Solanum lycopersicum: one gene and its partners. The protein of the gene in region 6 binds, or shares a complex with, the protein of the main gene of each other region. Links are inferred from orthologs where the notes say so. Each region holds a gene or a part of one and is shown on either strand. Other genes may lie near its edges.

Region 1 (4,730 bases), on a different chromosome or scaffold from region 6:
TTATGAGGATATTTTTGAGATTTTTTCATTTAAATTTTAGTAACATTAGTCGAGAAAACATAATAGAGAAATAAAATGTCATATTATTAGTTGCACAATTAAAAAGTCCAAAGAGTCAAGTTTATTCAATAGTTTAAGTTATAGAAGATTAATGAAATTCTAATTGAATTATAGGTATCAAGTAACAATTATTTTGTCACCAAAATATAATTTTGTAAAAAAAATATTATGATAGTGCAATTTTTTAAAATGAAACACGTAAGATAAGAAAATCCAACATAACAATGAGGACCGAGATCATATAAACGTTACCTCGTTATTGATAAATGCATTGGAAAAATAAATAAAAAATTAAAATTTTGTTTTGTTTTGGATCAAACAAAAAAATTCTGTTTTTTTAATGAAGTTTAATTCCTTCGTATATTTATTTAGTATTATAAATTAAATTCTTTCGAAATAGAAAGAAAATCTACTATACAACACTAGCAATAGAAATTACAAACTTCAACAAATAAAAAAAATTATATGGTACTTTTATTTACAAAATACAATGCAAAAATAAGTAATTTGTATGTTTATTAGGATTTTAAGGATAATAACATCTTTATTGAAACTCTTTTTCTAATTTTAAGTTAATCAAAGAACGAACAAGTCCTAAATAAATAATTATAATAATTTCACATAACAATAACTTGTTCATTAAAATATAAAAAGAAATATAAATTTATATATAACATATTATGATTTATAAACTACAAAAAAGGAAACAACATGAAAAAATCTAATATAACAAAGGGTGGTATAAGACTAAAACAGGAGAATTAATTTTTTAGTCCACTTGCTATTTTTAAAAAGGCAAAGATAAATTGGAGAAAATTTAAGTTAAACTTTATATAAATAAAAAATTTACCTTTTTTATTTGAAGTAAAAAAATAAAACTCCAAATGAATAATAGTATCAAATAACAATAGTTTGTCATTGAAATTTGAATTTAATATAATATTATGATATTTTTTATAAACAGACAGTATTATGATAAAAAAATTTAATGTAAATATGACATTTTATACGAATCAAACGTAATAAGACTTTTTCTTAAAAATTAAAATAAACAATGTGAATATATATTTATCCGTATTAATTAAGCATCTTATTATTTTAACAACTTATATTTCTTTTTATATAAAAATAAATCAATTAAAACATACTTTAAATATTTTTTTATTTTTTATTTTCTTACTTTTAATATATAAAAAATAACATTTTTTTCTTATTTTACCATCGATATTAATTGCTTACTCCTTGCTCATTTTTCAATATCCAAGACTATACATCATTCATCAATTAATATATTCACAACAAAATTATTATTATTATTACGAAATATATTAAAAATAGATAAATAAAAATAAATGAAGAGGATATATTATTTTGTAATTCCATAAAAAAAAACATATATAAAAAAAGAAAACTACTTCAAAGCAAAGAGATAAATCACTTCCTTAACTTGAAAATAAAAATCATTTCCTTTCAGATTTTTCTTTTATTGTTTTTCTATATTATGTCACTATATTTATTTATTTCTTATCATCCTTCTTTGAACTGAACACAGTTAAAAATAGTTTTTCTATGTCAAAGAGATATGAATAAAATCTATATCCATATCATTTCTTTAAACTTTACTTATGAACCTATATCAAATATGTTATTCTCATCGTTATCGTTGTCATCATCAAAGTTATCCTTATGAATTTCATCCATAAAAGAAGTTTTCAAAATCCAATTTCCATTCTATATACATATCAGAATTCGATTAGTTCAAATTTCACACTTATTCATACTTAAAATATATATTTTATATACTGACAATCTCTCGAGTTAAAAATGAAGGAATCAGAACCATCTCACCACGATCCATGCTAATGACCGAAGAAAATTGATCCTTATCACCTACCCCTAACCCCTACCCCCCACCCCCAACAGAGAAAAAACAATATTTTTTCTTCCTCTCTCTCGTGTCTCTTTGAACCAGCACCTTGTATTGCTTTTTTTTTTACAGAGAGAGAAATATAATTAAAATAATAAAAGATAGCTAGAGAGAGAAAATCTTCTATACTTTTTTTTTAACATATATTCTTTTTCTCTGGAAAAATTTCTTTCAATCGGAATAATTTTTTCTAGATTTCTCTTCTTATATCTCACCAAAAACTTAATCGGATTTTTATTTAATTTTTTTAATTTTGTTTTGTCATTTTGGGTTTATAGAGTTTCTATCATATGGATTTTTCCTAAAAAAAAAGCATAAAAATCTGTATCCGATTGCATTTTGCAGAACTGAATCGCCGGTGACACTGATTATTCAGTTTCCGATCATCGGAAAAAGTACCTAATCGGAAAACCAGAGGTTTTTATTGCTAAAAACCTTGTTTCCGATTAGAATTTGTATGATTTTCTTGTGGGTATAATTAAAATCGGATAAAGATTGAATTTGTATATTTGGGTATTGATAAATAATTGATTTTACGATCTGGGTTGATTTGTTTTTGCTCTGAATCATCAGTTATGGCGAAGAGTAGTGGGACTTTGGATAAATGGAGGGACTATTTTCGTACTGCAAATTCGGATATATTTGATATAATTGAGTATGCAGTGATGGTTGCTGCTGTTGATTGTCCAAAGGAATTTAAAATGAGAAGGGATAGAATTGCTGAAATGTTGTTTACATGTAAAGTTACTATGTGTTTTGGTTGTGAGAAAGTTGATTTAGCTGTACCAATTGCTGGTAATGATGATGAAGGAAAAATTAAGAGTAAGGATGAGTTTGGTGGTAGTAAAGAGAGCAAAGTTAACAGTAGGATAGATCATCATGATGTTGAGATGAATGTGAATCAAGTTAGCAATTATAGTTATGGAGAAGCTGAGGCATTAACTGAGGAAATGGAGGAAGAGACTCAGACTTTTGGGGAGGTGATGAGGATCAAAGATGTCATTGATAACAACCAAGCTGAGGTTCATTTCATCTCTATTGAATTTTGGTTATACTGTTGATTTGAAGTATTTTGCTGTGTTTGGATTTGTTCAGTCAAGAATTGGTGGACTCTGTGTATGTGAATTTGAAGTTTGTGTACTTTTGGGGTTGATCAAGAAGAAAATCTTGATAATTGAGCTTAAATGTTGTTAAATTTTTGGAGTTTCTGGTGTTGTATGACATATAACAATGGTTACTTTTATGGTTGAATTTAATGATTTGAAATTTCTGTTCTTGTGGGGTTGATCAGGAAGAAGAATCTTGATAATTGAGCTAATGTTGTAAGATTTTAGAACTTTTGTGGTTGAATTTGATGGTGATTCTATTTTCTCTACTAGTGTCTATAACTGGAAAATCTGATATGAGGTTGTTTTCATGTCACAGTTAGGAAACCTTTATGCTTTTCATTTCCTTTTTGCCCCCTTTTTGTTCCTTTGATCTAGTTGTACAAGGATGTTGCTTTCTTTAGCTTTAAAACAATGTATGAAGCTACTTTTAAACTCTTTATATCTTTTGCTATTTCACTTGCTTGGTAGTTTTGAGCTTTCCTCTAGTAATCGGGTTTTGAGTTATTGTTCTTTTTGACAGTCTGCAGAGTTGTTTGAGTGCTTAAGAAGGCTTCAACTAATGGCTTTGTCTGTGGAGACTTTAAAGGTTTGATCTTTTGACGCTTCCAAAATTTCATCTTCCATTTATTGTGGTTACTGTTTTTTAAATTTATTCTGGATGGACATAATTGATTGCTTCTATATCAGGCCACAGAGATTGGAAAGTCGGTTAATTCTCTCAGAAAGCACAACTCAAAGGATGTTCGGCATCTATCTCGGACATTGATTGAGTAAGTAACTCTTGCTTTATTGCTGAAATAACTGTAAGAATGTCGTCAAAATATGTATGCACAACACAGTTCTAGTAGTCTGATCCGGGGTATCTTTAATGTGGCTGAATTTGTTTTATCGCAAAGGTTTGAACTTTTGTCTTCGAGTTGAACTAACATGTCGTATTGGTGGCTCTGGCAGCTTGCTTTGTCGGTTGTAGTTTTGAAGCTATTATTACTTTTTAACGCTTGCAACTGTTTGTCGCTTACCGTTTATCTTTACCGTAAAATTAAGATTTCATCATAACTCAATCATCAATGCATACTAATGATGGTGATTGCTTCATTTATCGAGTGCTGAATTTGTTTTTATCGCAAAGGTTTGATCTTTTGTCTTTGAGTTGAACTAACATGTCTTTTTGGCGGCTCTGGCAGCTTGCTTTGTCGGTTGTAGTTTTGAGCTATTATTACTTCTTAACGCTTGCCACTGTTTGTCGCTTACCGTTTTTCTTTAATTGATGTTATCTTTAATGAAGATTCCATCATAACTCAATCATCGATGCATACTAATGATGGTCATTGCTTTATTTATCGAGTGCTGAATTTGTTTTTATCGCAAAGGTTTGAACTTTTGTCTACGAGTTAACTAACATGTTGTATTGGCGGCTCTGGCAGCTTGCTTTGTCGGTTGTAGTTTTGAGCTATTATTACTTTTAACGCATGCCACTGTTTGTCGCTTACCATTTTTCTTTAATTGATGTTATCTTTACCGTAAAATGAAGATTACATCATAACTCAATCATCGATGCATACTAATGATGGTCATTGCTTTCTTCATCGAGTGCTTCGCAAAATTTTTGTGACTCACTTTGGTAGTCCCTTTTT
Region 2 (4,099 bases), on a different chromosome or scaffold from region 6:
AAGGCACCTTACAGTTTGATTTGCTTGAACCATAACATAATATTAGTGAATTGCTAATGGTTGCTCTGATGTTTGGGGCTGAGGATAGAACTTATTCTGATGCATAACCAATTACTTTAACTTTTGAAAGAAACAATTGTTTTAGACTTTGCGCAGAACCAGCAAAATCATATTTGAGGTTGTAAGACCACAATTTTGAACTTATAGTTTATACTGAGGATATGTCTATACCCTTGAATAGTGTGATAATATGCAAGTTATATACTACAATGAGAAACTGGGTTGGTATTTATTCAATTTTTTGAACTGCTGTTCTTTTCAAGAACTCTGATTATTTTGCTATAATTTTTCGTCATCCCGATCGAATTCATGTTTTCCCATATCTTGTTTTCTTTTAGAAACTACCTACAAGAAGCTCTACATTTCTGTATGATGTTAATGAAGTACTCCTGATAATTTGTAATGAAAATGTTGCAGGGAAACTTATCTGGTCAGAGACAGGGGCAGCCTGTATTTATTACCAGATTGGAGGTATGCTTATAACTTGTCTTATTGGAACTTCTAGTGATTACAAGTTCTTTTGTGTTTTTTGATCTTTTTCTAATGGTTATCATTAAGTGATAGTGTCTTAAAGAAGGCAATCCAGCTTTTGTGTTGAGACATGAAGTATTGCCTACTTATCTCTTCATGTTGTAAAATGGTTTGCTGGATCTCTACTAACTGTACAAAATCTTGTGATCCAATTTCTTGTGGCAGGGGTATAGGAGTGCCTCAGCTTCTGAATCGTAAGTTTTCATTTTTATAAATGCTTGATTTAGTGATTTCACAATGTCACTTACAATAAACAATCCTACTATGTTGTTTTTTGTGTTTGAGTTATCGCACTGTTTTGTTGTTGTCTTGCTTCCTTCTGGTAGACTCGCACTGTTTCCTTGTTACTCGCTATATTTTCTTCACTGTCTCCTTCTTTGTACTTGGATTTTCTGCACTTGACCCGGGGTTTTTTCGGAAACATCCTCTCTAGCTCCTCGAGGTAGTGGTACAGTTTGCGTACATTCTACCTTCCCCTGACCCCACTTGTCGGATTTCAATGGGTCTGCTGTTATTGTTGCAACGTTCCCATTCCTTGTTGGATTGTGAAGGGACTATATATTTGTCTTCCATAAGTTGTACGGATATTTGGTAGTTGTATTTTATAGTGTAAGTTTAGCTATGCTACTGTCTTTTCCATCTTCGAATTGCAAGATCTTTTATTTTACACCTAAAGAACTCTGTTGTCATGATGCACTGATCTCTCAAATTTAGCAAGATCAGTAAATGGTAGAGACACCAAGGAATTCCTGATTTAGTCTTAGAAACTTGTTTCTTGAGGGATTCATCTTTTATAAAATTCTTTTTTTCTACAACTGAGACATTATTCTATAACCCATTTCCCTTTACAATTTTTTCTCAATCTTGTCAAGAGAAATATTCCATGATGTAACATCAAGAATCTTTGATCTCTTTGAGTGGTATTCCTTATATTAGTATTGGTTACAAGTAATATGATATTTATAATCCATCGACAGGATGGGTTTCATTTGGTTCTCTTTGGGATGATAAATGACCTACTTAACTCAGTGGTTAGAGTACTGCTTTCATACGGTGGGAGTCATTGGTTCAAATCCAATAGTATGTAAAACTAATTAGATACCAGAGTCAATGGTATCTAATAAGGTTTACAACCCACCTTTAGTGATTTTTTTTTTTTTGATTTTGTATCTTTTCTATTTCATTTTTTAATTTGAATTTTTGCATCAGAATTGGATTCTGTTTGATTGTATTCACCCGACAGAATCTAAATAGGATTAGAAAGAGAACTTCTTTTTATTATTCGAACGTACCAACTAGTTATGAAATCGGATTGCTAGCCTACTTCTTCAAATTCAATCCTTCAACACCCACTTGCTCCAAACTAGCTCACATGTTGTCATAGATATTGCTTGATATTATGTTCTGGACTAGAATGAGAAACGACACTCTATTTCTTGCTTTAACAACGCACTAAAAATTGCTGGCTTCTAAAATACAATTACCAAACATAGAATGTCTATCAGAAGGTGACCCTACCAATCAACATTGGTGTATCCAATGATCTGCTTATGGATTTGAGCCTCGAGTGTCAATGGGTCGTAGCATAAGCTTAACATTCAGTTCCATAGGAGTGCCTTTGGATTTACAGCCCATCTTATCTCTTCAAGAATCTCAGAAGCATATTTTTGTTAAGAAATAGGAATAAAATACCCTTTCAGGAAGACCCAATTGATTGGGCTTTGGACTTCCATGTTGGAGGTTTCAGCTTCGAAACCCCTTGCTAGCAAAAAAAGATGTTTGCCTTCTTGGTCGAGCTCGTCTCACCGGGTTTGCCTAATGCAGGTAACTTCTCCTGCGTGGTTCGTAAGCTATTGCATAGAAGTGAGGGATTTTACCCAGTGCGCATCCAAAGGGTAGCGGTTGCGGGTTTCTCATCATTAAAAAAGGAAAACAATACCTAGAAAGTAACTTCATTCTACCCAAATTATTTTTCTGAAAGTGCCAAAAGATATGTTGTTTAGACTAGTGATACCATCACAATCATTGTCAATAATAACTATATTGTCACCATAAACCACTAAATAAATACACAAACTTGAAGTTGAATGTTGATAAAACACAACTATCAGCTTCACTACCAGTCATGCTGAATTCCTAAATAACTATGTTGCACTTACTAAATCAGGCTTGAGGAGATTGTTTCAAACCATAGAGTGACCAGTACGATCGACATACACTACCACTAGACATCCCCTCAGCAACAAAACATAGTGGTTGCTGTATATAAACTTCATCATCAATGTCGTCATAGAGAAAAACATTCTTAATGTTCAATTCATAAATTGGACAATGGCGAACAACAATCATGGATAGAAAGAGGTGGACATATGCTATTTTAGCCACATGAGGGAAAGTACCACCACAATTAAGCCACATATCTGATGATATCCTTTGGCAAGAAGGCGGGACTTAGCTGATCAATTTGGCCGTCTGGACCAACTTTGACTACATAAACCCAACGATAGCCAACAATAGATTTCCTGAAGGATGAAGGGCAAGTTCCCAAATACCACTTGCGTGTAAAGTGGACATCTCCTCAATCACTGTGTGCAACCATACTGGATGAGAAATTGCTTCCCTGGTAGACTTAAGAATGGAAGTAAGTAGCAGACAAATAGAGTTCTTTTCAGATGTACTCTAGCGTTGGATAGGCAGGTGAGATCTAGCCAATCTTGAAGTGTTTGAAAAATAGGATTAAGCGATGACAAATTTTTGGGGTGTGCTGGCAGCATTAGTTGGATGCTTGTGATTCCTTTGATGAAAGTTGTACTTCTCCGGATTGCATTATATTGAATTGATGTGTGGAAGGAATCTAATTCTCTAGGGTAACTAATAAATTTGTGGAAGGAATCTAACTCATATTTTAGTTTTCAGCTATAATTGTTTAGTCGATGTAGAAGTTCTTAAACCAAATGTGATTCTTTGTTCGATTTGTGGTAGCTACATAGGAATGATATACAGGATGCTCTTATGTATTTGAAGCAAATGATGTCATTTCTGGAAAATTATCTTTTTGTTTTTCTGTTATGCATCTTTAGTCTTCTTTTCACTTCCATAATGCAGTGTTTTTTTAACTGTATTAACACTTGGAATTGATTTGTCCTTTGTGTTTTTGTCAGGCTTGCTGCAAATTGGCCTCCAACAATGCAAATTGTTCGCCTTATTTCCCAAGATCACATGAATAACAAGTAATTCATTTTAGATCAATTAATTTTTTGCTTGGTGGATCTTTTTCATGTTAGAAACATTTTCTTATTATTCGTCCACAGTGCAATTACTGCTTTATGAAAATTACATCTTTGTTTTGGATCAGACAATATGTTGGGAAGGCAGATTTTCTAGTTTTTCGGGCAATGAACCAGCATGGGTTCCTTAGTCAGCTGCAAGAAAAGAAGCTTGTAAGTGTTGTTACTTTTAAATATTGAGTTTTAGCAGCTAGAGACTAACCCCTTTTCATTGTAGTTCT
Region 3 (4,149 bases), on a different chromosome or scaffold from region 6:
CCGCGAGCAGCATATAGCAGGTGTCCGGCGATGACCAATTTTTTGAATCTAGCAGTAACTTCTGTACAAAAGAAGTGAAAAAAAAATAAAACAGTTTCTTAAGATTGAATACGTTGCTCTTTTGACATCTCTAACACCTCACCGATTTAATTGTATGGTTGAAGTTATAGCAGCAGAGTCATGTAGAACAGGGACTCTGCCATGTACATAGGTCAGCAAGAAGATCTCGAAGCTGGTCAATCAGAAGTTTGAGATGCTTGTTCTTGTCTACAAGCTCCTGCAATTTGTAAGAACAATAGAATATGCTTTAAATCTTGATCACAATAGCAACTTGATTTTTCACTACCGTAAGATAATAGAAAACTATTAGGCATGCACTCAAGTACGATAAAACTCTACCTTCACTTGAGGACTTCTTATTGCCACTAGGGGGAGACATAAAGCAAATGAAACAGGATTTGACTAATTTTAACGCAATAGGAATAAAATTAATAATAATACAGTATGTACAACAAGCAGAGGATGTTGAAACCAAGTTTTCATATGTTATCACAAAATCATATTGTTCTGATTTGAGGTTGTGACAAATATCGAGACTTGAGAAAGTTTGTACAGTAAGACATTTTGTCATGTGTCCGGAATGAAAATGTAACATGTAGTATACCTCAATATTGTTTTAATGGATAAGAAATTACTCAATGGATCAAGGAAGACATCAGTCAAGGTTCAAATATTGGCACACACATTTGCTTCACCAAACCCACCCATCATGCATCCCAAAAACCAACAAAAATCCAAGGAAATTCTAATATGTCAAAATTTGATATGTTATCAATACCTTCTTTAATGAAGAGGCCCGGTCTTCCAGCTGCTCAATTTCCGCTTGATCTGCTGCAGATAGTGAACCACTAGCAGAAGCAGCTTCCAATGCTTTTGCCTAGCTAACAAAGCCAGTAATGAGTGTGAAGTATCATACAATAAGTTAACAACTTTCCAAAATGTACAAGAAAATATAACTTGTTAATCATGAGAATTGAGACAACAGAAAGGAGAGTTTGACAACTTCCAGTTAAAACGGAGCAAATACTTGCACAACTCTTAAGAAAGAAGTTACTAAAAGAACTCATTTAATGTGTAGTCGGACATATGTTGAGCAACAAAAATGCACTCAACATCAGTGATTTATTTGTTCATACTGACAAACAAAATTCTTACTGCTTAACCAGATTCTCTCCAATGCACAAATGTTAAGGCAATCCATACACCAACACCAAGGACTTGAGATGTGATTATAGTGCTAATTCTTTCTTGAAAAGGATAACACGCAGTAGTTTATCTTGGTATAAACACTTATACCTCATGTGCGTTTAAACAGCAGAAACAAGAACAACCTCGAAAACATAGTTAAATATCTTCCCCCATCCCCAGCCCCCAACAGCCACCCACAAACCCAGAAGAATATAAGACAAATCAGAAAAAGAGTAAGCAGCACAGTTGAGCTTCATCAACTGATGACGAGGGATGATCAAACGACTGAATATTATATTCATAGTGAAGAAATATTATCCCCATGTCTAGAACATCAAAATATACAATTGCCATGTGCAAATGTTGCTCATATTGGTAAGGGCAAATTGTGCTAGTATATAACCACATGATGTCTTTCCCATATCAATCACCAAAACTGTTTAACCCCTTGTTTTGTGATTAAGATCAATCACCAAACACTTTTCACACTGAATTTACCTTTATCGCTAGATAATGTCTTTTTTTTTCTGCTCAAACTGGATAATGTTTTTCTCTCCTACAGTACTCCGAAGGAACTACATTTCTAGAATATCTATTTGAGTTTCATTCCCAATCAAAACTACCATCTAACAGAACACCAACACCACCTATGGCTCAACACAAGCTGGTTGGTGGTGGAAGTATACGAATCCTCCATATCCATATGGAACCACTTCACTCCAGTATCAAATAGTTTTAACCTTTGGAACCTCTAAAACTAGAGGTTATCTACGTTGGATCCAAATCTTTGCGGTCACGTTGAACTACCTTTGGCATTGAACAAAGCCCCAGTCTTTTACACATTTTCTGTTTAATGGACTTCACTAGAAGTGATTCATTCATATAGCTGAACCGAACTAGTTTATGATCAAGCCATTGTTGATTCATGATTACATCAAACTAACTTTTCCTGAGATCACTATCTTAAATTACAGATATCACACAATTACAAAAATGTTTTAAAAAATTGCATTTTTATACGTAAAATTACCTTTTGGGAATTAGAAATTGCAGTAAGAACAGAACGCAAGGAAGCAATAGAGGACTTATAACGCAGACGAGATTCATCAAGAGCACCACCACCAATATCCAAATGCTGAGCTGAAGCAGAAGAAGACGAAGAAGTATCAGACGAAATGTCGCCGTTTGTATGGTGCTGCTGTCCATTACTCAAAACACCACTAGCACCAACTCCTCCACCGGCCACCGCCACCGCAGAAGAAGCAGCAGCTGTATTTAGAGTGGACCAAAGTGATGGATTACAGAGTTCATCGTTCATGGCGGAGAGAATTTGATGTGCTGCTTCTATTGTATCTTCTAAATGCTTTTGCCCTTCTACTGCTAGTTCTTGTATGGTTTTAGGGCTTGTAATTGTGCCTTTATCCTCCATACCGGGTAATGTCACCGGCTTGTCAAAACCCTAGATCGACGGCGGCGGTAGTGGTGGCGATCGGCGGTGCGAGAAGTTGTAAGGAGAATTAATTTAAGCATAAAATGACGTCGTTTTATGCGTGGCGTGTACTTTTTGGGCCGGGTAAGGAGCTATGTATTACTGGATCAAGCCCAAAATCAAGTTACTTGGGTCAAAATTCAAGGAAAAATTATATAAATTAATACATTTTAATAAATAATTACTGATTTTAGCGATACTTTTTATTTATTGTCATTTATAGCAATATTATGTAAAATCTGCAATATGAATTAAAAGTGAATTATGTATGCAATGTACGTGAATTATAAGTTGTTTTTTGAAATATATTAAGTTTGTTTACTAAATTTGACACATTCTATTATAAATGTATTAAAATGTGTGAAAAACGTATTATCCATCGTTAAAATTTGTATTATATGTAATATTAAATTGTTATTTATAATATGTATAAAACTTGTATTATAAATAAATTAAAACTGATTAAGTAATTTTTTTTTATTATTGCTATAAATGGTAAATATTTTTTTAATTATAGTACGTGTATATAAGTTCCCCGAAATTCAATGGGGGAAAGAAGTGCACAAATATCTGTGTTTAACGTTGCAGAAAAATTACCAGATTACATAAACATTCCTATCATATTTACTACGTAGTTTTTTTTTCATAATTTTGAAAAGTTACGCATCGTCTTCTAATTAGTAATTTCATACTAGATGTCAAGTCATATAGACCTAGATGCATGTAATATACTACTATATACACTTTAAAATATAAACTTATAGAAAAAAAGACGAGTGAAAAAGACGTAAAGTGAATGAGAGAGAGTCTATGTATCGCAAATAGATGCAAACTAAAAAAAGTGTGATTCCAATTAAAATTAAAAAGCGAAAGAAGAAATGTTTAAAAACTTCCATTTGAGATTTTGAAAGAAACAAATCAAAGATTCCTTTTTTTTTATTCAACGTGCCATTAATACCTAATTAAAAAAAGACAACACCATTCGAATCGATAATTAGTCTTATTGTGCATTTTAATAATAGAAATTAAAATATTATATATATATAATATTCTTTCTATTTCATTTTATAAGACACTTTTCAGATTTTAAAATTCAAATAAATTTATTTTATAAAAAGGAAAAAATGACAAATATATTCTCGAACTACCGTAAATGATATGCAGATACCTTCAGTCATTATTTTGGGACATTGATGTCTCTGTCGTTCATAAATTAGAGCATATATGCCCTTCACTCTAACGAAGGGACAGGGGTACCAATGTCTCCAAAGTATGACGGTAGGAGCACCAATGTCCCAAAAGTACGACGACAGGGGCACCAATGTCCCAAAAGTATGACGACAAGGGCACTAATGTCCCAAAAGTATGACGAATGGTATTTGCGTACCATTTACAATAGTTTGGGATGTATC
Region 4 (3,626 bases), on a different chromosome or scaffold from region 6:
CATTCAAGCTCAAGGAAGCATCCTATACGAGCAATGACAAAATCCCTAGGCTTGGCAATGGCAGCCTCAGGTGGACATGACTGAAGGATCTGACATCCTTGTTGCAGAATTTGCACAAACAAAGATTGCAGACCTTTCGTATCCTGCCTACTACTTATTCCCCCAAATGGATATATATGATTATCAAGCAATTCTCCCCTGGAATCTGTCCATATACACACCAGCCAGCGCCAATCTTCAGTCCAACCATAACAACAATGCAGGCTTGGAAGTGATTTTTGATGTGCAGATCCAAAACCATCTGGTACAGATGTTTCAGACTGAGTGTTCAGTCCAGTGTCTCCACCACCTGAAGAAGCTGAACTCTGCATAAAACTTCCACTTGTACCATCATCCAACAAAAGCTTTGAAGATTCAGTCATTGGATTACCCGACATCGGAAATGAAAGTCCACGATCCAATGAACCTGGTTCAGCAAGAATGTAAAGGGGCTCAAACAAATAACGAATTTCATCCTGAAAAGAAAAATCCCCGATCCTGTTTGGCTCACATCCAAGACCTCCCCCTCTTGATGCTTGCCAGTTGTCCCAACTACCAGGCCTTAGGTTTGCATCAAGGTCAGCTTCTCTCTGAAGGGAAGTTCCTATGCCTCGAGGACCAACACAGTCCTTCCACATTCCTGGAACTGGGGAGTTCATTTGCATCAGAACTGGATGAGATCTACCGGGCATGGATGACGACTGAACCATGTCACTGGGGGACCCTCGAGATATTCTGCGGGCTTTGTTATAAACTGTGAAAGCAATTTCCTTCAGTATGACAAGCTCACTCAGAGCAGGGCTTGTAACCCTAAAAATTGCATCAACGGTGACAATCTGCAATACCAGTTTAGGGATACAAAACCCAGAAAGTGTTAAAACATTTGAGAGTGCCTCATCCACAGCTGCTGAGTAACTTAAGGCCTTCCCGACTTGATTGTGCAGCGTAGACCGCCTCTCTTTATCTGAAGAAAGAACCCCAGATCCAACAGCAATAGAAGATTCAATCACCGTCTGTAGAACCGCAAGAGGCTCAGGGAAAGGGCAAACCACGTATACCACCTGATTTGACATTCAAATATACAATCAGATATAAGCTTCTCTTAACTACCTTAACATATAATACTCTGCTTAGATCAGATATTCTACGTTCTTCTAAGATTTTTACTTTGAGAATATGATATTCGAAGGATTTGCAACTATGGAATATGCAACACTTGGAGCACAGAAAATAACCTTAGAACAACTGCCCTCAATCCTGAACTAGTAAGGTCGGCTATATGAATTCCAGTTATCTCTTTCCACCCCAATTGGACCCAAGTCCCAACAGAATAGCATGTCGAATTCTCATTCAAGGCCATTATATTGTACTGATACCGCATAAAAGTTGATAGGAATATAATAAAGATATTCATATCAGTATATTCAAAGACAAAAATAATGAAATAAGTGGATATCCTAAACTAAGAAAAAAGAAAACTATCAGCAAGTGTTGCTTCAGAAATGCAACCAGAAGTAGAAGAGCCATTTACCATTAGCCAGAGTTGCCTCATTCTCTTTTCCCAAAAAAAAATGTGTGTATTACTTAAGCTTCTCAAACATTGAATAAATTCATATATATAGAAAACTTCTGATTATTGGTGTGTCTATTGAATCCAATGACTTCTGCTGCTGCTCTACCTTAGATTTTTATCATTTTGGAAGTTGACTAATCCCTTTTAACAGATGTATCTTTCTATATAATATTAATCCCTATCTAGGACGAAACATATATAAATATCCCTTATTCTATTTGCTCATCCAACTAGTAAGTGTTTCACTAGCCTCAGGTAAATGTGACCTACTCGACCAGTGCAAAAGAAAATACACCTTGGAGTAACTATCATAGCACACCAAGACACTAGGACATCGTGCAAGTCATTCTTTCACTATCAACTTAACACTTCCGGATCCCAAGGTTTGGCATCATAAGCACTATAATTAAGCCCAATCATATTAAAACAAATGGATATGTAGTGGAGGCACCTAAGGCAGTGGGAAAGGTTCTACTTTGACTGTAGTTTCTAGTTTTTCCTTTTGCGTTCTCTTTTCCAGAAGTAAAATTACTTATGAAGCATGTGCCAAAAAAATACTTATGAAGTACATGTGCCAAAAAATTAATACGGAATCACTCTTTTGGCTTAATCTACTCTTCCCATTTTGCTTTGCCAAAAGAAGGTCAAGTATACAAAAATGCCCCCTTATCAAGAGAAAGTGGTAGACTGCCCTAACATCGAAAACCAATTATCTCCACCAATCAATGATGGACTCAACGAAGTTCACTTTAAAGATGCATCTTCCAGTTTTAGTGCTAATGAGAAAAAAGAGGGAGAAAGAGGACAAAAGCAAGATAGGGAAGAAAAATAGAAAAGATATAAAAAAGAAACAAAGAGGATCACAACTTACCGTACATGGACCAGTACTTCCTTCTTTCGGATTCATGGTCATGCATGAACTAAGTTTTAAATTTCTGAGAACTTTTGAGAGCGACTTCAAATAGCTTTCTAAATCCCATCCATTGGAAAGGGACAGAAAGTAATCACTGATCGATCCCAGCATAGATGCACTACTGCTGTCTATCTTCATTGACTGGGGGCAATCAATCAGAACAAAACCAGAAGATGCATTCTTGCCAGAATCTATCTCCATCTCATTTCCCATAAATTGAGGCGAATGAGTTCCCAGTTTGCATGTCTCATAAACTAAAAGAGAATAGTCAATCAAAAAAAAAAGGGGAAGTCTATTGGACTGCGGATAAGTCATTCAAAAAATATCAGGTAACAAAATTTCATGACACAAACATACCACTATCATTATCTATGTCAAGGACAGTTACGAAGCTGGATTTGTATGAGAAGCAATAATTTAATCACTTTTTTCTAATTAATTCAATATCATTTTTCCATCTCTGATCTTGTCCATATCTTCAAAATGAAAGAGTCATGCAGATTGAGTTACAAAATACAGCAACATTAAATAAGAACTGGCCAATTTGTGAAATTAGTGCAGCTTTACACTTTTAGGATACCGAATATTTATCTTCTTAAAGCACAAAGCATCTACTATAATTTTGAGTCACATAAACGTAACCGATACACTATCTTCTGTTTAGTATGATAGTTAAGAATACTAACCAGTTCCAAGCTGTTGGAAAAAATCAGTTGCAGCTGTTGTTAGAGCATTGATGTCTGGGCAGACAACGTGATATGTCATCTGAAATGTTGGGGAAAATGGGTAAGGCAATATAATAGTTGAGGAGATAAGCAAGAGAACAGCCTGAAGTTATTAAAAAATTTACATGCTTGGGCATCGCATAAGGCTCAAAAGGTGCCTTCTCCCAGAACTGAAGAGAACTAGGTGACGTCTTAAGCCAATCGTCTTGATATCTGCAATGTCAAAAGACATTATTTCTCCCTTCAAATAGCAAATTAAGGCCAGAAACAGAAAAAGTAGTTCAAATAAATTTAGTATCACAAATACAATGTCTGGAATGTCCTCTACACTTGTTTTGTACTGATTAGTGAGCCCTTCACATTAAAAAGTGAAAAG
Region 5 (4,616 bases), on a different chromosome or scaffold from region 6:
GTAATATGTTCAGTGTAATGCTCCTATAGAACCCAAAAGCCATTCTTAAATTTAAAGAACTGACATTATCAAGATAATGGAAGAAACACATCATATGCTCAATAGGAGTATTACCCAATTTTCCGCTTAAGCATATATAAGTTTAATGAGTCGTCACAAAGTCGCAATTAGGTCAATTTGACCAACCAGAATAAAGTATAAGCACAATACTTGATTTTACATTGGAGAACTATGTGTTAAGTAAATAGGAAAGAGTACATCTTGTCGAGAAAAGGACACACGGCATAGTTTCAAACTGAAACTCATAAATATATATGGGGAAGCACTTCACTTGACCAAAACGAGAAAAGAGATGAGTGATAACATGAAATCCTTGGAATTCCGTTAATGAAAGTGATACAGCTAATATAATTTTGTGTGCTGCACTTAATTTCAGGTCTATAGATCTAGGTTGTACCGATTCTTAAGTGTCACACCACCCAATTCAAGCCAAATGGATAAAGTTCCTCTTTTGTTAGTTTTCTGGAAAGACAGTAGGCCCTTGAGAGTCAGTACCTGCAACTTTGAGGACACGGAATTGGAACAGTCGAAGGGGAAAGAATAACTACAAAGGCAAAGGTGATTATAGGAATTCGTACAGGCTAGCCGAGGAGAGGGACCGTAACCTTGCCCAAGTGAAGTGCATCAAAGACCATAAATACTCCTCCCATTTACCATAGATTATAGGCAAAGGTTCATATACTTAGACCACACTAGAGAAGTTGCTCCTTCATTTATCATCAAAATCTGAAGTTCACATGTCAATATGGTGATTCGAATTCTTCACTCCATTGATAACCCATTACTGCTATAAGTGTGCATTGGCAATCTTCCAGTCACCTATCACCAGATGTCTGAGCTAAGCCTAAAAAATTAAGCAATTGAAACCACAAACGAGGGCATCCCAAAAGAGTTCAAAGGCAGGCTGCTTCCTTTCTGTTTTGGTTACTTGGTTTGGGAATAAAATTAGTTCTACATTTATTTCTTAAAGAAATTTGATCCTAGTGAACCCAACAAATGTGTAGTTGATCTCTCGCAAAACTTTAGCACTATGTTTTCTGACATGAGAAAGAAAGTACAGGTCATTGATCATGCTTGAGACTTGGGAAGGACTCTAAAATTCAATAAACAACAAATCACACTCTTAATAGGATTTCATTAATGTGTTTGCCAATGAGGAACTGCAACACCTATTCGAAAAATGAAATCATGGGGTGCAAAATGTATTACCTTAATTCATAAATTAGTTGATAGGAGGTCTGTGCTATGAGTAAAATAAAATTATCCGTCTTTCCTGCTAAAACAAAATTATCCAAGTCAATAACCATTTCAGAAACATTACGTCACAAATCTAACCCTAAAATATAAAATCATAACAAGAGGGAGCATGCAACAACAAGCATTGACAAAGTTTTCACAGTAAGAGAAAAGTAAAAGAGGAGAGGAAATACTTTCTCTTTCTTCGATCAACAGAAGCATTCCTTGGGTCCGTTTTAGCAAGACCAGATCCAGGAGGGATGGCATACTGCATCGGGGAAAGAGCTGCAGCTGTAACAGGTGTAGGAGCAGGAGGTGGAGCAGTTGGAGGGGCTACACTTGATGGTAGTGATGCAGGTGGAGCAGAACTTGGTGCAGTTGCAGGCTCAGGAAGCGGCCGCGGCAAAATATGTTTCAACCGGTTATTTCTGTAGTTCTTCCAGAAGTAAAATTGCTGCCTATGTGCTACTTCCTAATAGTTGTTACAAACATGTAGATCAGATCCTATCACAGATTTATGTGCCAGAACTTTAGGTTGGCAAACAAAGTGCAATAAATAATAAACAGTGAAATGAGATGAGATGTCCTCGGGGCGAGAATTAACCTCGACAACACGATTAAATAATTATAAGTTTTATGCCTAGAAACTACGGGAAAGTTCAGAAATGGAAATAAGGCTAATGGCTAAGACAATGAAGTACCATGTATTATAAAGTGTTTTGGCAGCATTTTTAGTCCATAGAAACTGTGTTTACAGAAAGTGGGGTGAACCTTCTTTATAGTGGCTGACAGTCTTAACTAACTAAAGAGTATAGCAAAAGTGGAGAAGGAAACCAGGACAACACATGACATAACTTTTTACCTTGTTAGCAGGATGAGCCATTGCATTACGAAATGTTGGATTTTGGAGAAGCTCGAGAAAGAATAGGCAGTGTGGATACCTGCATTAACATCAAGAAAGGAAAACCAATACGATTAGTTAACGATATCCATAGTCCACAGGAAACAGAAAAGGAACAAGGACCATCATCCACTGCATCTAAAAAGTTGCAGTAGAAAGAACATACATAACTATTATCACATATTAATACTATAAACTAACTTACATTATAAACTTTATGTACTCAGGTCGTTGCCAGTACTGAAGGTACTTCAAGTACCCAATAAAAGCTTCATCTTCAAAATATCTGTTCTGAGCCAAATCTGCATCAGAATCAATACAAAGTCCACAAAACAAAACAAAAAATGAAAAAGGGATAGAAAAATTGAAGCTTTTGCAACCCAATATTCATTTTCACACCAACAACATATATAACATAAAACTAACAATAATTGGTAAATACCCAGAAAACATCATGTTTAAATAAGAGAAGGGAATAGATAGATAGATACAGTGAATGTAAGTTGGGTTAGCAAGGCATTGAACAAATTCGAGTTCGAGTAAGAAACGTTGGCGCCCATCATCGGGATCTTTATAGACGCTTTTCTGCCTGCAAATTGGAACAGAAAAAACAGTTGATTAATGTGAATTTGCGAAGATGCAAATTGATTTGAGATGAATTGATTCTGCTTACGGTGATTCATGGGTTTCTGGATTCGATGTAGAAGCCATGCGCTAAACCCTAACTAATTCTACTTTTCAAAGTTAGCCGTTGATTGTATTGCTGCGCTATATATACAAAAGGAAAGTCTGAAATTCATTGCATTTTTAAGATGTAATGTAAAAATGGATTAAATTCATATTGAAATAAAATTTCAGTGTTAAAATGACATCTTGTATTTGATTTTGATCCTAATTTTTATTTGCTCAATATGAGTGTGTCATTAGATTCATTTACTCACCTAGATTATACAGTCGATCAGATTGAAATGGTTAGAAATCTTTTTTTTAAGTGAAGTCATAATTCTCATATGTGATTATACCAGTGTTACTAAAGATGAAAAGCGCAAAAAAGCTCTTACGATCCATGGGGAATTTAAGCGCAAATAAAATGTAAGCTTTGATGAAAAAAGACGCAAAGGGAGGAAAAGAGTATAAGTATGCATGTTTAGTCCAAAACTAATAACTATAAACATGAATATGTCAAATATATGATCAAAGAAATTGAAAATAATTATGACAAAGTGAAATATCAGTGATTTAACTTCACTGTCTCATAAGAGGCTCATTGGTAAGGTGACGTTTGCCTTAGAACATTGGTGAAGACACTAAAGTGCACATAAAGCGACGCGAAGCCCTCAACACGTTTTTGAGTCTCGCTTGCGCGCTTTATATCTAAGTTTTGACCAGTTTTTTATTAGTATGCATGAATTTTTAAGCTTAAATTCGTAGTTATATAAATGTGAAAATTGTGATTTTAGTCCAAGGGGTTAAAAAAAAAAGGGCGATTTTGGATGCAACCTTCATGATTTTGGTTTGGAATAAAAATCTTATATCACTTTTGATATTTATAAGCTTGAATTCAAGTTGACTCTGTTTCGGTTATTTCTCAAAGAAACATGTCTACGGGCCACAACTGAATATATGTGTCATGAAAGAGAGGTGCATAATACCATGCCTAAAATGAGCATGGAAATTGGGGGTTTTGGACCTACAACTACGAAATCATATTTCGATGACCAATGTTTCCAACCAAATTTTAGATTTGTTTACCCTTTATACAATTACCAATTTGGACTACTTCAATTGGTATGTCCATGCTTTTTCCTATTAACAAGACGCTTTACCATACACTACAAAATCTTCATCTCTGTCTATACCAAAGCATTTTGTATCTACCCTAACATGGAGTAATAAATAGTCCTTTAATAAAATTAAACACCATTGGTCTTATTGCATGTAGCTATTAGGATTTGAAGTTGGGGATAAGGAGGTTTAGGAGAGGGGAGCTTAAGAGTGACCAAACCACAACCATACATAATTCAGACCATCTCCAACAAACTGTCTATTTTATTTGTCTTTTCCATTTGCTGCCCAAAATGCAAGCATCTGAGCAAGCTAGCAAAGAAAAAAATTCTCAATCCCCAGAACCTAAAACATCATCCACAGAGTTGAAATTTATGTCAGCTAATGACTTATTTGAATTAGAACATCCTTTGCCCTCAACCAAAGAGAGTAAAACAAGGAGATGCCCTTTTCACAAAGCGAGCTCCATGCTTCTCTAGGGAAGGCTGCAATCCAGCTTAAAATTCACTAGTATGGCCTGTAGCGGATGGACCGTCTGAACCTTGGAACCCTTCTGCAAACAAGATGACAACACAATACTTGTTAACTAAAGTTTGATGTAATCATCAAGCAGGCATCAGCTTGAATTATGTCA
Region 6 (4,099 bases):
CTAGGGTTCCTTAGGACTCATTTTAACCCTGTTAATCCTTCACACTCTTCTACTATTAGCCTGCTAAATATAAAAGACCTTGGAAGTGCATAAAGTTTGTACTCAGAAAACAGTATCATACGTGGATTGTAATTCTATGGATGACTTCAAACTGAGCTATCCTTGAAGTAAACTCTTTTCAATAAAAGATGTGTCTAGTTTTCCGATGTCAGCAACTAAACATATCTGAAAGAGTGATAGTCTTAAAGTATGTGATATTGTCGTGGCTATAGAGGAAAACATTTGCAAAAATCTCAAGGGAGCTGAACAAACTGTACTACAAAAACTAGAAAATTTATCACTTGTTCATCTCATTGAACTAGAAATAGTGGAAGAATGTGTATCCTGAGAAGTAGTTTTCTGAAGAAGTCTTTCCGCATCTTATCAAATTTCTAAAGGGAGAAGAATACATAAGATATGGACATTCAGAGTCCTCATGTGTCCCATATGTGTCTGATGTATGTGAGATGACATGAATTTATGTACCCCAAAAATTTACAGTATTAAATGAATCGTTAGACGGACAGTGAACGCGTAATACCCTGAATCACGAACAAGTTTCAAATGATATAAAGATCAAGTTCAAGGCAACAAACATGTGTTACAGGATGTTTGGCGGAACCAGGGTCTAAACAAAAGGGGAAGCCGGGTGCACCACGCCTGGGTTTGGGGAAGACCGAACCACATTAAGTCCATTGTGAACACCCTTACCAACCATTACTGCGAGAGTGAGTTTCCATGGCTTGAACTTGTGACCCTTTGATCACACAACGACAACATCTACAAAAACAGGATGTCAAATAAAAGTAAAACCAAGTTGCTAGTACTACTGTGGGCCTCCTATGACATGGACATATTAAACTTCGTACTTCAGGAAGATAGAGGCAGAAAGTTCATATTGATAAAGCAGTGGAAGAAATTCCCATGCCGTAGAAGATGCAGAAAAAAGCTGTCAGTGAGCCAAGTACAGGTAGTTTCTTCTGCGACGCATACCACGGCACAAAGGGTTTTGCATACTTGTAATGGTCTCCTCATTTAGGTTCAAAAACTGCATTTTCATATTGGCTCACGTTTATGGAAAAAAAGCCACATAGTATACAGCTACTTGAAAAGATTAAATTCGGACTCAGTAATCTACCAAGAAGATTTTAGCAGACAGAAGGAAATAGACAAATTTTCATGAGTAAACTTGAATTTAGTCTTGAATTTTGAACCTGTAGCCTAAGAACTGAAGTTAGTTGTGTAAATAATCATGGGCAGCAAAGGGTATGGGAACCATAGTGTTGAATTCACGATGTTTATTATGTTTCCTTGCTAGAATATGGAAGGAACTACTATTGATGATTAGCAATAGCTTTGGTAGTAGAAATCAAGGGATTAGGTGTGCAGGCACCTAACCTTCTTAGACTTGTTCTCAAAGGCATGATATTGTAGAGAATAACAAAAGAAAATATAATTGGAAAAACCTTCTGCTAGCCAAGATCGTTAATTATGGTAGGAAGATTCCACTGAAGAGAGGAAGCTATGAAAGGAGAAGGAAGAATTAAGATAGTAGAACTTTGTTATGGATGAAGACTTTTTGAATTGGCACGAATTGCTTCGAGGTGGATATTTTTCTTTTGGGTTAACTACAAAGGACTGCCACCCCTATTTATACTTGTGTAGGGATGCTCTAGATACATCTACAAGAATAATCATGACAACTTAATCTTCTAACTATTTAACAAGAATCTGGAACTTCCAAACATATCGTAAAGATATGTATCCAAGACACTACATTAGTTCATTCTGGAAGCTTTCTTAAAAATATGTTCAGAAATGCAAGAAAGTTGTTGGATAGGTCAGAAGCTGCTGGAACTTCTCCGGAAAACGAAAAGTAATTGGAACTTGGCAGCAAGCAGATAGGAAGTGCTTGGAAGAGTAGGGCCATCTCAACGAAGTAGGAACAGATCAAAACAAGTTTCAAATTCAATAGTTTGTGCATTAGTAATTTTAGAATCATATTTACTCGACCACCATGAGGCCAAGCAGTAATTCCAATGGCAGCCGCAAAACACCACTACCAGCATAGAAACAACAACAATCATCACAAAAACATGCAGAGCAGAGAAGTGGAGTGTGGGGGCAAAAAGAAGCAAAAACTAGTGGGGAAGTGAGTGGAACATTGGGTATAGCAAGTGGGTCAACAGATTCTTGCAGAGAATATGTCGATTAGATCTCATAAATTCAAGTTCGTATGAGAAGACGGTGACTGAAAATTAACTCTTGCTGGCGTAGACTGTCGAAAGTTGAGGATTTAATCTAGTTGGAATTAGTTTTTCAATTCTTGCTTGAGTTTCAGAGTGAGCGTTCATGGTGGTTGAGGCCTGATAATAATGAATGTTCTAGATAAAGAAGATGACTTAAGAAAATGGGTTTATTTGTGTGTAATGGGTAAACTGAGTGGGTTAAATGGGTAATGGGTAAATTGAGTGGGTTAAATGGGTAATGGGTAAATTGGGTGGGTTAAATGGGTATGGGTGGATATTGAATTTTGGGTTAAATAATTAATTAAATCAGGTTGAGCGGTAGGATTGCGACAGGTGTACTAAATAAGGTTTCCGTTAGTGGGAGGGGTAAATGTGCACTGATTTTCGGACGGTAGGGTATTAATGAACGAAAAGTATGACGAAGGGTATTTATATACTATTAACGATAGTTCGGGGTTATATTTGTCCTTTTTCCCTTAAAAGAATTTGGAGTTTGCTACACCACTTGGGTGTAAATGTGTGTGATAATGTTATTCAAGGACTTGATAGAACAGTGATCACATATTTAAGAGAAGTGGTAACAATAAGCATGTGAATAATTTAAATATAACTAGAGGAATTTTTATGCATTTTCCAATGATCAGAGCTCAAAAGATGTGTGTTGCAGCAAATTATGTTTAATTGGATCGATTCTCCAAGATAAATGTCAAGTGGGTTTTGTTGTACTAGTCAACCAAGTTAGCCAGAGCCTCAGAAAACTTCAAGGATGACACTAAAAGTGTCACTATAAATTTTTCAGCACCGTGTGTACTTCTACACAAAGATGTAACAAAGCACCATCTCCATGTCAATTCAGACAAGATAGTAGGTTATTATCTTGGGTATCTAAATGCAATTCTAATACATCAAACAGATGAAGTTGAATCTCAATTGATTCGATCAGGAGAATCATATAAATCTGTCTGATCCAGTATCAGAAATACATTTGAACAAAAAAATGTAGAACTTTTATACTGATGATAAAACATTGAAAACTGAATCTGAGCTAAAAAGTTCATTTTGATCCAATTGAAGTTGTATCAAGTCAAACATGGGTGTATTTATTTACTCACTTTTACATAAAATAAATGTTAGTATAACAATGGTAATAGAAGCTATGCATAAGCATTGGACATAACCAAAGAGATACTTGGTTTGACGATTAAAATTTCGACATTCACCAACTATAACGAACTTTTTTATTGCACATGATAATGTCCAAGATGTTAAACAACATGTAATACCACAAGTGGGGTATGGGAGGTTCGAGTTTACACAGACCTTACCCCTACCTTAAGAGGTAAAGAGGTTGTTTCTGATAGACCTCCGGCTGAAGTATAAACATTTCAAACAACCAAACAAAAGAAAACACTGAAGAACAAAAAATGTTCACTTTGTTACCTCTCCTTCCATGACAGATAATTTCCAAGAGCTTTCTGCAATTCCACACGCTTGAAAGGTCCAGGGGAAAGCCAATGCTCAGGCGGGCCACGATTTAAGAGATAAACTTTCACTCTTTGTTGGAGCTCCTTACTGTCAAGTAAGTTAATCTGTTTGGAATTTTAACAAAATAAGTCACTATTCCAATAAATTGCAAATAACTACAACACTTACTTGAAAGTGATCACGGTGAGAAGGAAAGAGAAAATGAGAGAGAGCAAAGCTTGATTATTCTCTAAGCCATTGGAGTTCTAATAGAAAAGTGTGTGTTCTAAGAAGGGAAATAGAATTAAAAACATAATTACAGGAATAAATCAAGCTATAGTACATTT
Region 7 (3,952 bases), on a different chromosome or scaffold from region 6:
GTGCAAAGAAGTAAAGTATGTCCTTACCTTGATTAGTTGCATGAACTCACTACAATGGTTGTTAATAAGCTCCTTCCTGGGGCCGCTCGGATTTGCCATTTCATCCATTACACCTCCTGCTAGCTCCAGAACTCTGACTATCCTCTGCAAGCATCAGAGGAAGATACAGCAACAGAAGGTATGAGAGTAATGTTTCAGTTACAATTTTTTCTATCAAGAAAAGTGATTACTGACTCCGCATTGAAAGTTATGATCGTGATTTACTCATCAAATTACGATTAGTTGCCTTTGCACTTGACATGCTATATCATCTCCACGTTTTTAATCTGAAGAAACCAATGACTAGGAAACAACAGAGATGCTGTTTCCGTTAGACCAGAGAAAACTCGTGTCAGTAGATATTCAGGGCATATGACAGGACGATCTCGAATACGATTTGATTTCCAACTGTTGAAGATCAGCCTGGAGTTTGTGGAAGATACTCAATGAGCCAGACAGGAAGAAAGCAACCAACAGAAGCAGAAGTTTGAAAAGCCCTTTCAGATCCTATTCTCGGTCCACAGCGTCTTTGATTTATTCATCATTGTCGTCATCTCAACACTATTCCCATCTTCATTCTCTGACTTCGAATTATATTATTTTGGCTGATTTGAGGATGGGTTGAGTTGGGTTGGGTCAGCCCATTTTGACAGTTAGGTGGGTGACATGAAATTCTTAGTCATGGTTATCTAGCCAAGCGGCTCTTGTTCTCATTCATTTCATTTGTCCGGTTGTCCCAGAAATTGAAGGATCCGGAACTCCAGAAGGCTTAGGAGAGCTCAATGGTGGAGTCCCTTACCGAGGCATAACACCATCCATATATCTTCAAGCTTGTCTATGTGTTTCACCCAATCAACGAAATATGGATTTCACCTAAATTCAAAAAGTACTCTCCTCGCTCTCTTTCTTTCTTGAAACATTTTGGTATACAGGATAGGGGAACAAGTAACAAGGACTCGGGCAAGGAAGGAATAATATTGTAGTATCAATTCTGAAATCAGAACATTAAGTATTTTGATGACAAAGAATAGCAGCTACTGAAATCAACCCATCTTAAGTCAATAATCCTGTAGAAACATTTACCTTCTCAACATTTTGCAGCCGCTGCAATGAAGTATTCTGGCTTTGCGAATCCATGTATTCTGAGGGAAGCTGTCAGGACAGGAGAAAAAGATTACTGAATTGCAATGCCGTAGAGCGATCTAGATGTGGAGAAATAAACAGAATCTATAAAACCTGATTATGTGCAGTTTTCAGAGATTTTGGTTCTGAGATCTTTGCAGTCAAATAATTAAACAATCAGAAACCTAAATCCTCTGTAATCAATCCGAAAACAGAAGAAAAACTTACATCTAATAAGTATTATGTCCATTAAACTTACCACCCTACTACACTCTTTCAAGGTACGGGTTTGGCCGAAATCAACAACTTTTCTCTGAACTCTATATTTGTCTTAAGAAATCTATTTAATATGTATAAATTATTAATTTATAAGAGATTATTTTATCCTGCGTGTAGTTGGCAAGATGCAGGATAACAATCTCATGCGATATGTTCTAAAATGTTGAGATTGGCTATTCCATATAGAAGTTGGATAGCTGATCCCACGAGAGAAATCCTTGTCTATTCCATCCCCCATACCGAACGATCAAGGACTAGAACACTGAACCCGTAAACTTCAAATCCTAGCTCCGCCTTTACCCCCAAGACCTGCTGATTATCAAACGAGCAATCCTAACATTTCACCGTCTTCCTCTAGCATTTCTGCAAAGGGGCTATTTCCTTCGACACTCAAACCCATTGCCAGACTTGATTAATCACCCCTTACTGTTCAAATGGAATCATTTCGTTTTTTGCAATTTTCTAATTGTTCAATAGTCTTATAAATTTGAATTCAATTTTTCAAATTCTATCTCGGAGTAGCCATTCACTCAACTCCGAATGAGCTCTTTCGAATCGTTCAATAGCCCTGAACCTGAGATCTGCAGTTTATTAAACAAGCAACCAGTGATAGTCTTATGTTTCTTCGCTGTTCCAAATTTGTCCTACACTCTCAAAACCTCACTAATTTCATATTCCACTTACTTCATTAACTCTTTGTCATCTTCTCTCTTCTCCATTTTTTGGAGGAATTCATCACTCATATCTCTGACTGCAGCGGCTCAACCCTAAAGCCAGCCACTAAAGCAAGCAGTGGATTTAGGACCCAAAAAAATAAGGTCCTCAAATTACAAATCCCTGAAGCTCCGAAAGAACCAAAAAGCCCCAAATTCAGCTCAAATGCACAACGATATTTCATATCATGCATGAGTGAAACAAAGCTCAGATACAAATACAAATACATATAAGACGCACAGGCACGAAATATTTTTCTTATTATTAAAAAAGGAGCCAGCGAGATGTCTGATATCGGCATCTACAAGTGAGAAGTCAATCATACCTTACCTTCAACGGCGGCTATGAGTGGCAGAAGAACGGCAGTCACCGGTGGTCGGAGATAGTCTCAGCTCCGAGTTGTTGCCTGTAATTTTTATTTTTTATTTTTATCATACAAGCATGTAATTGAATAAACATATTGCTTAAATTAACGCATATTTTTTTTAAAAAAAAACATTTTTTCAATTTTTTATTTGTTTAATATGTTATAAAGGTTTTAAAAAAGATATAGCAAACAAAAAATTCAACATAGTGTGAAATTAGGTCTTAGGCGTAACTCACACCCCAAAAGCTAGCTCAAAAGGAAACTCACACCTCAAAAGCTAGCTCAAAGGGTGGAGGATTGCTCAAGCCTTATAAGGAGTTCACTCATCTCATTAATCACCGATGTGGGACTTTTTGTCATTCTTTAACACATAGAAACTATATAATTCTCTATACATATACAGTTGAAGCAAATTGTATAAAATGAAGTGTATAAAACAAAAAATAGAAAGACACTTGGGCAGAGAACTGTATAAAAACGAAGCGTATAAAGCAAATTGCATTATTATAAGTGTATAGAACGATTATATAAAATTTGAATTTGTATAAAATGAGAAAGAGAAAGACAAAAAAGACTTGACAAGGAATATACAATTGAATAGAATTGTATAAAACGAGAAAGAGAGAAATTAGATACAATTTGAGAATTGTATAAAACGAGAAAGAGAGAAAGACAAAAGAAATTGGGCAGGGTGGTATTTTTATTGTATAATTATAATTGTATAGGACGAAAATATATGTACTTGCATGTGTATATACAATTTTCTCATGCTTTATACAAACAGAAACGCAATTTATACATTTCGCTTTTGTTTGTATAAGTGAGAAAGGCGAGGGTGGCGAGCGAGATTTGGGAGAGTGGCGAGCGAGACCTGGAAGAGGGGAGAGAGAGGAACAAAAATATATGTATTTATACAATTTTCTCTGCTTTATACAATTAGAAACAATTTTTATACACTTGTGTTTGTGTAAAAAGTGAGGAAGCGAGTGAGAGATTGGAGGAGAGTGGCGAACGAGATTTTTGGGATAGAGGCGCCTGACAATTTTTTTGCAAACGTTTACTATGAAGCATAATTAAATCAAACCCTACCTACTCTATTTATTTTAGGTTATTAGTTTGCTATATACAATTTTCCCTTTAAAAATACATTTGCTGATTAAATGAATATATACTAATCTAAAAACTATTTATTTTCAAAAACGTTTTCTTAAAACAAGTTTTTTAAAAAAACTTTTTAGCAAATTCATTTGAAAAGTGTTTTTATAAGCAATATGTGTTTGACTAATTTTTTTAAAAAGTGTTTTTATAAGCAATTTGTGTTTGAATAATTTTTTTAAAAAGTGTTTTTGAAAGTCAAATTACGAAAAAAAACAAATATCGATGTGCTTTTAATATTAAAATTATTTTATAGAGAGAAACTATTTTAAACAT

Evidence for each region.
Region 1: mediator of RNA polymerase II transcription subunit 23 (region 6) and probable mediator of RNA polymerase II transcription subunit 26b share a complex: the UniProt entries of both Arabidopsis thaliana proteins name them as parts of the mediator complex. The link is inferred for Solanum lycopersicum from reciprocal best matches to the Arabidopsis thaliana genes AT1G23230 and AT5G05140.
Region 2: mediator of RNA polymerase II transcription subunit 23 (region 6) and mediator of RNA polymerase II transcription subunit 25 share a complex: the UniProt entries of both Arabidopsis thaliana proteins name them as parts of the mediator complex. The link is inferred for Solanum lycopersicum from reciprocal best matches to the Arabidopsis thaliana genes AT1G23230 and PFT1.
Region 3: mediator of RNA polymerase II transcription subunit 23 (region 6) and mediator of RNA polymerase II transcription subunit 30 share a complex: the UniProt entries of both Arabidopsis thaliana proteins name them as parts of the mediator complex. The link is inferred for Solanum lycopersicum from reciprocal best matches to the Arabidopsis thaliana genes AT1G23230 and AT5G63480.
Region 4: mediator of RNA polymerase II transcription subunit 23 (region 6) and mediator of RNA polymerase II transcription subunit 13 share a complex: the UniProt entries of both Arabidopsis thaliana proteins name them as parts of the mediator complex. The link is inferred for Solanum lycopersicum from reciprocal best matches to the Arabidopsis thaliana genes AT1G23230 and GCT.
Region 5: mediator of RNA polymerase II transcription subunit 23 (region 6) and mediator of RNA polymerase II transcription subunit 31 share a complex: the UniProt entries of both Arabidopsis thaliana proteins name them as parts of the mediator complex. The link is inferred for Solanum lycopersicum from reciprocal best matches to the Arabidopsis thaliana genes AT1G23230 and MED31.
Region 7: mediator of RNA polymerase II transcription subunit 23 (region 6) and mediator of RNA polymerase II transcription subunit 11 share a complex: the UniProt entries of both Arabidopsis thaliana proteins name them as parts of the mediator complex. The link is inferred for Solanum lycopersicum from reciprocal best matches to the Arabidopsis thaliana genes AT1G23230 and AT3G01435.

The regions. Positions count from the first base shown.
Region 1 is NC_090809.1:61,265,780-61,270,509, reverse strand, and holds the start of probable mediator of RNA polymerase II transcription subunit 26b, read left to right. Parts: upstream 1-1,595; 5' UTR 1,596-2,562; coding exon 2,563-3,009; intron 3,010-3,616; coding exon 3,617-3,682; intron 3,683-3,783; coding exon 3,784-3,866; intron 3,867-4,730. UniProt on the Arabidopsis thaliana protein: Component of the Mediator complex, a coactivator involved in the regulated transcription of nearly all RNA polymerase II-dependent genes.
Region 2 is NC_090811.1:29,968,155-29,972,253, reverse strand, and holds part of mediator of RNA polymerase II transcription subunit 25, read left to right. Parts: intron 1-477; coding exon 478-531; intron 532-756; coding exon 757-785; intron 786-3,752; coding exon 3,753-3,821; intron 3,822-3,946; coding exon 3,947-4,031; intron 4,032-4,099. UniProt on the Arabidopsis thaliana protein: Component of the Mediator complex, a coactivator involved in the regulated transcription of nearly all RNA polymerase II-dependent genes.
Region 3 is NC_090807.1:2,029,146-2,033,294, forward strand, and holds the start of mediator of RNA polymerase II transcription subunit 30, read right to left. Parts: upstream 2,801-4,149; 5' UTR 2,678-2,800; coding exon 2,279-2,677; intron 938-2,278; coding exon 839-937; intron 278-838; coding exon 179-277; 3' UTR 143-178; intron 62-142; 3' UTR 1-61. UniProt on the Arabidopsis thaliana protein: Component of the Mediator complex, a coactivator involved in the regulated transcription of nearly all RNA polymerase II-dependent genes.
Region 4 is NC_090803.1:12,752,168-12,755,793, reverse strand, and holds part of mediator of RNA polymerase II transcription subunit 13, read right to left. Parts: intron 3,464-3,626; coding exon 3,376-3,463; intron 3,291-3,375; coding exon 3,212-3,290; intron 2,780-3,211; coding exon 2,484-2,779; intron 1,101-2,483; coding exon 1-1,100. UniProt on the Arabidopsis thaliana protein: Component of the Mediator complex, a coactivator involved in the regulated transcription of nearly all RNA polymerase II-dependent genes.
Region 5 is NC_090802.1:52,519,379-52,523,994, forward strand, and holds the start of mediator of RNA polymerase II transcription subunit 31, read right to left. Parts: upstream 3,063-4,616; 5' UTR 2,909-3,062; coding exon 2,871-2,908; intron 2,787-2,870; coding exon 2,689-2,786; intron 2,500-2,688; coding exon 2,403-2,499; intron 2,238-2,402; coding exon 2,159-2,237; intron 1,769-2,158; coding exon 1,491-1,768; intron 1,337-1,490; coding exon 1,321-1,336; 3' UTR 1,270-1,320; intron 1,098-1,269; exon of another isoform or gene 354-1,097; intron 1-353. Other genes in the region: polyadenylate-binding protein 1, read right to left, coding at 4,490-4,535. UniProt on the Arabidopsis thaliana protein: Component of the Mediator complex, a coactivator involved in the regulated transcription of nearly all RNA polymerase II-dependent genes.
Region 6 is NC_090804.1:17,739,071-17,743,169, forward strand, and holds part of mediator of RNA polymerase II transcription subunit 23, read right to left. Parts: intron 3,878-4,099; coding exon 3,729-3,877; intron 1-3,728. UniProt on the Arabidopsis thaliana protein: Component of the Mediator complex, a coactivator involved in the regulated transcription of nearly all RNA polymerase II-dependent genes.
Region 7 is NC_090803.1:5,625,740-5,629,691, forward strand, and holds the start of mediator of RNA polymerase II transcription subunit 11, read right to left. Parts: upstream 2,801-3,952; 5' UTR 2,485-2,800; exon of another isoform or gene 2,480-2,484; intron 1,192-2,479; 5' UTR 1,177-1,191; coding exon 1,123-1,176; intron 145-1,122; coding exon 28-144; intron 1-27. UniProt on the Arabidopsis thaliana protein: Component of the Mediator complex, a coactivator involved in the regulated transcription of nearly all RNA polymerase II-dependent genes.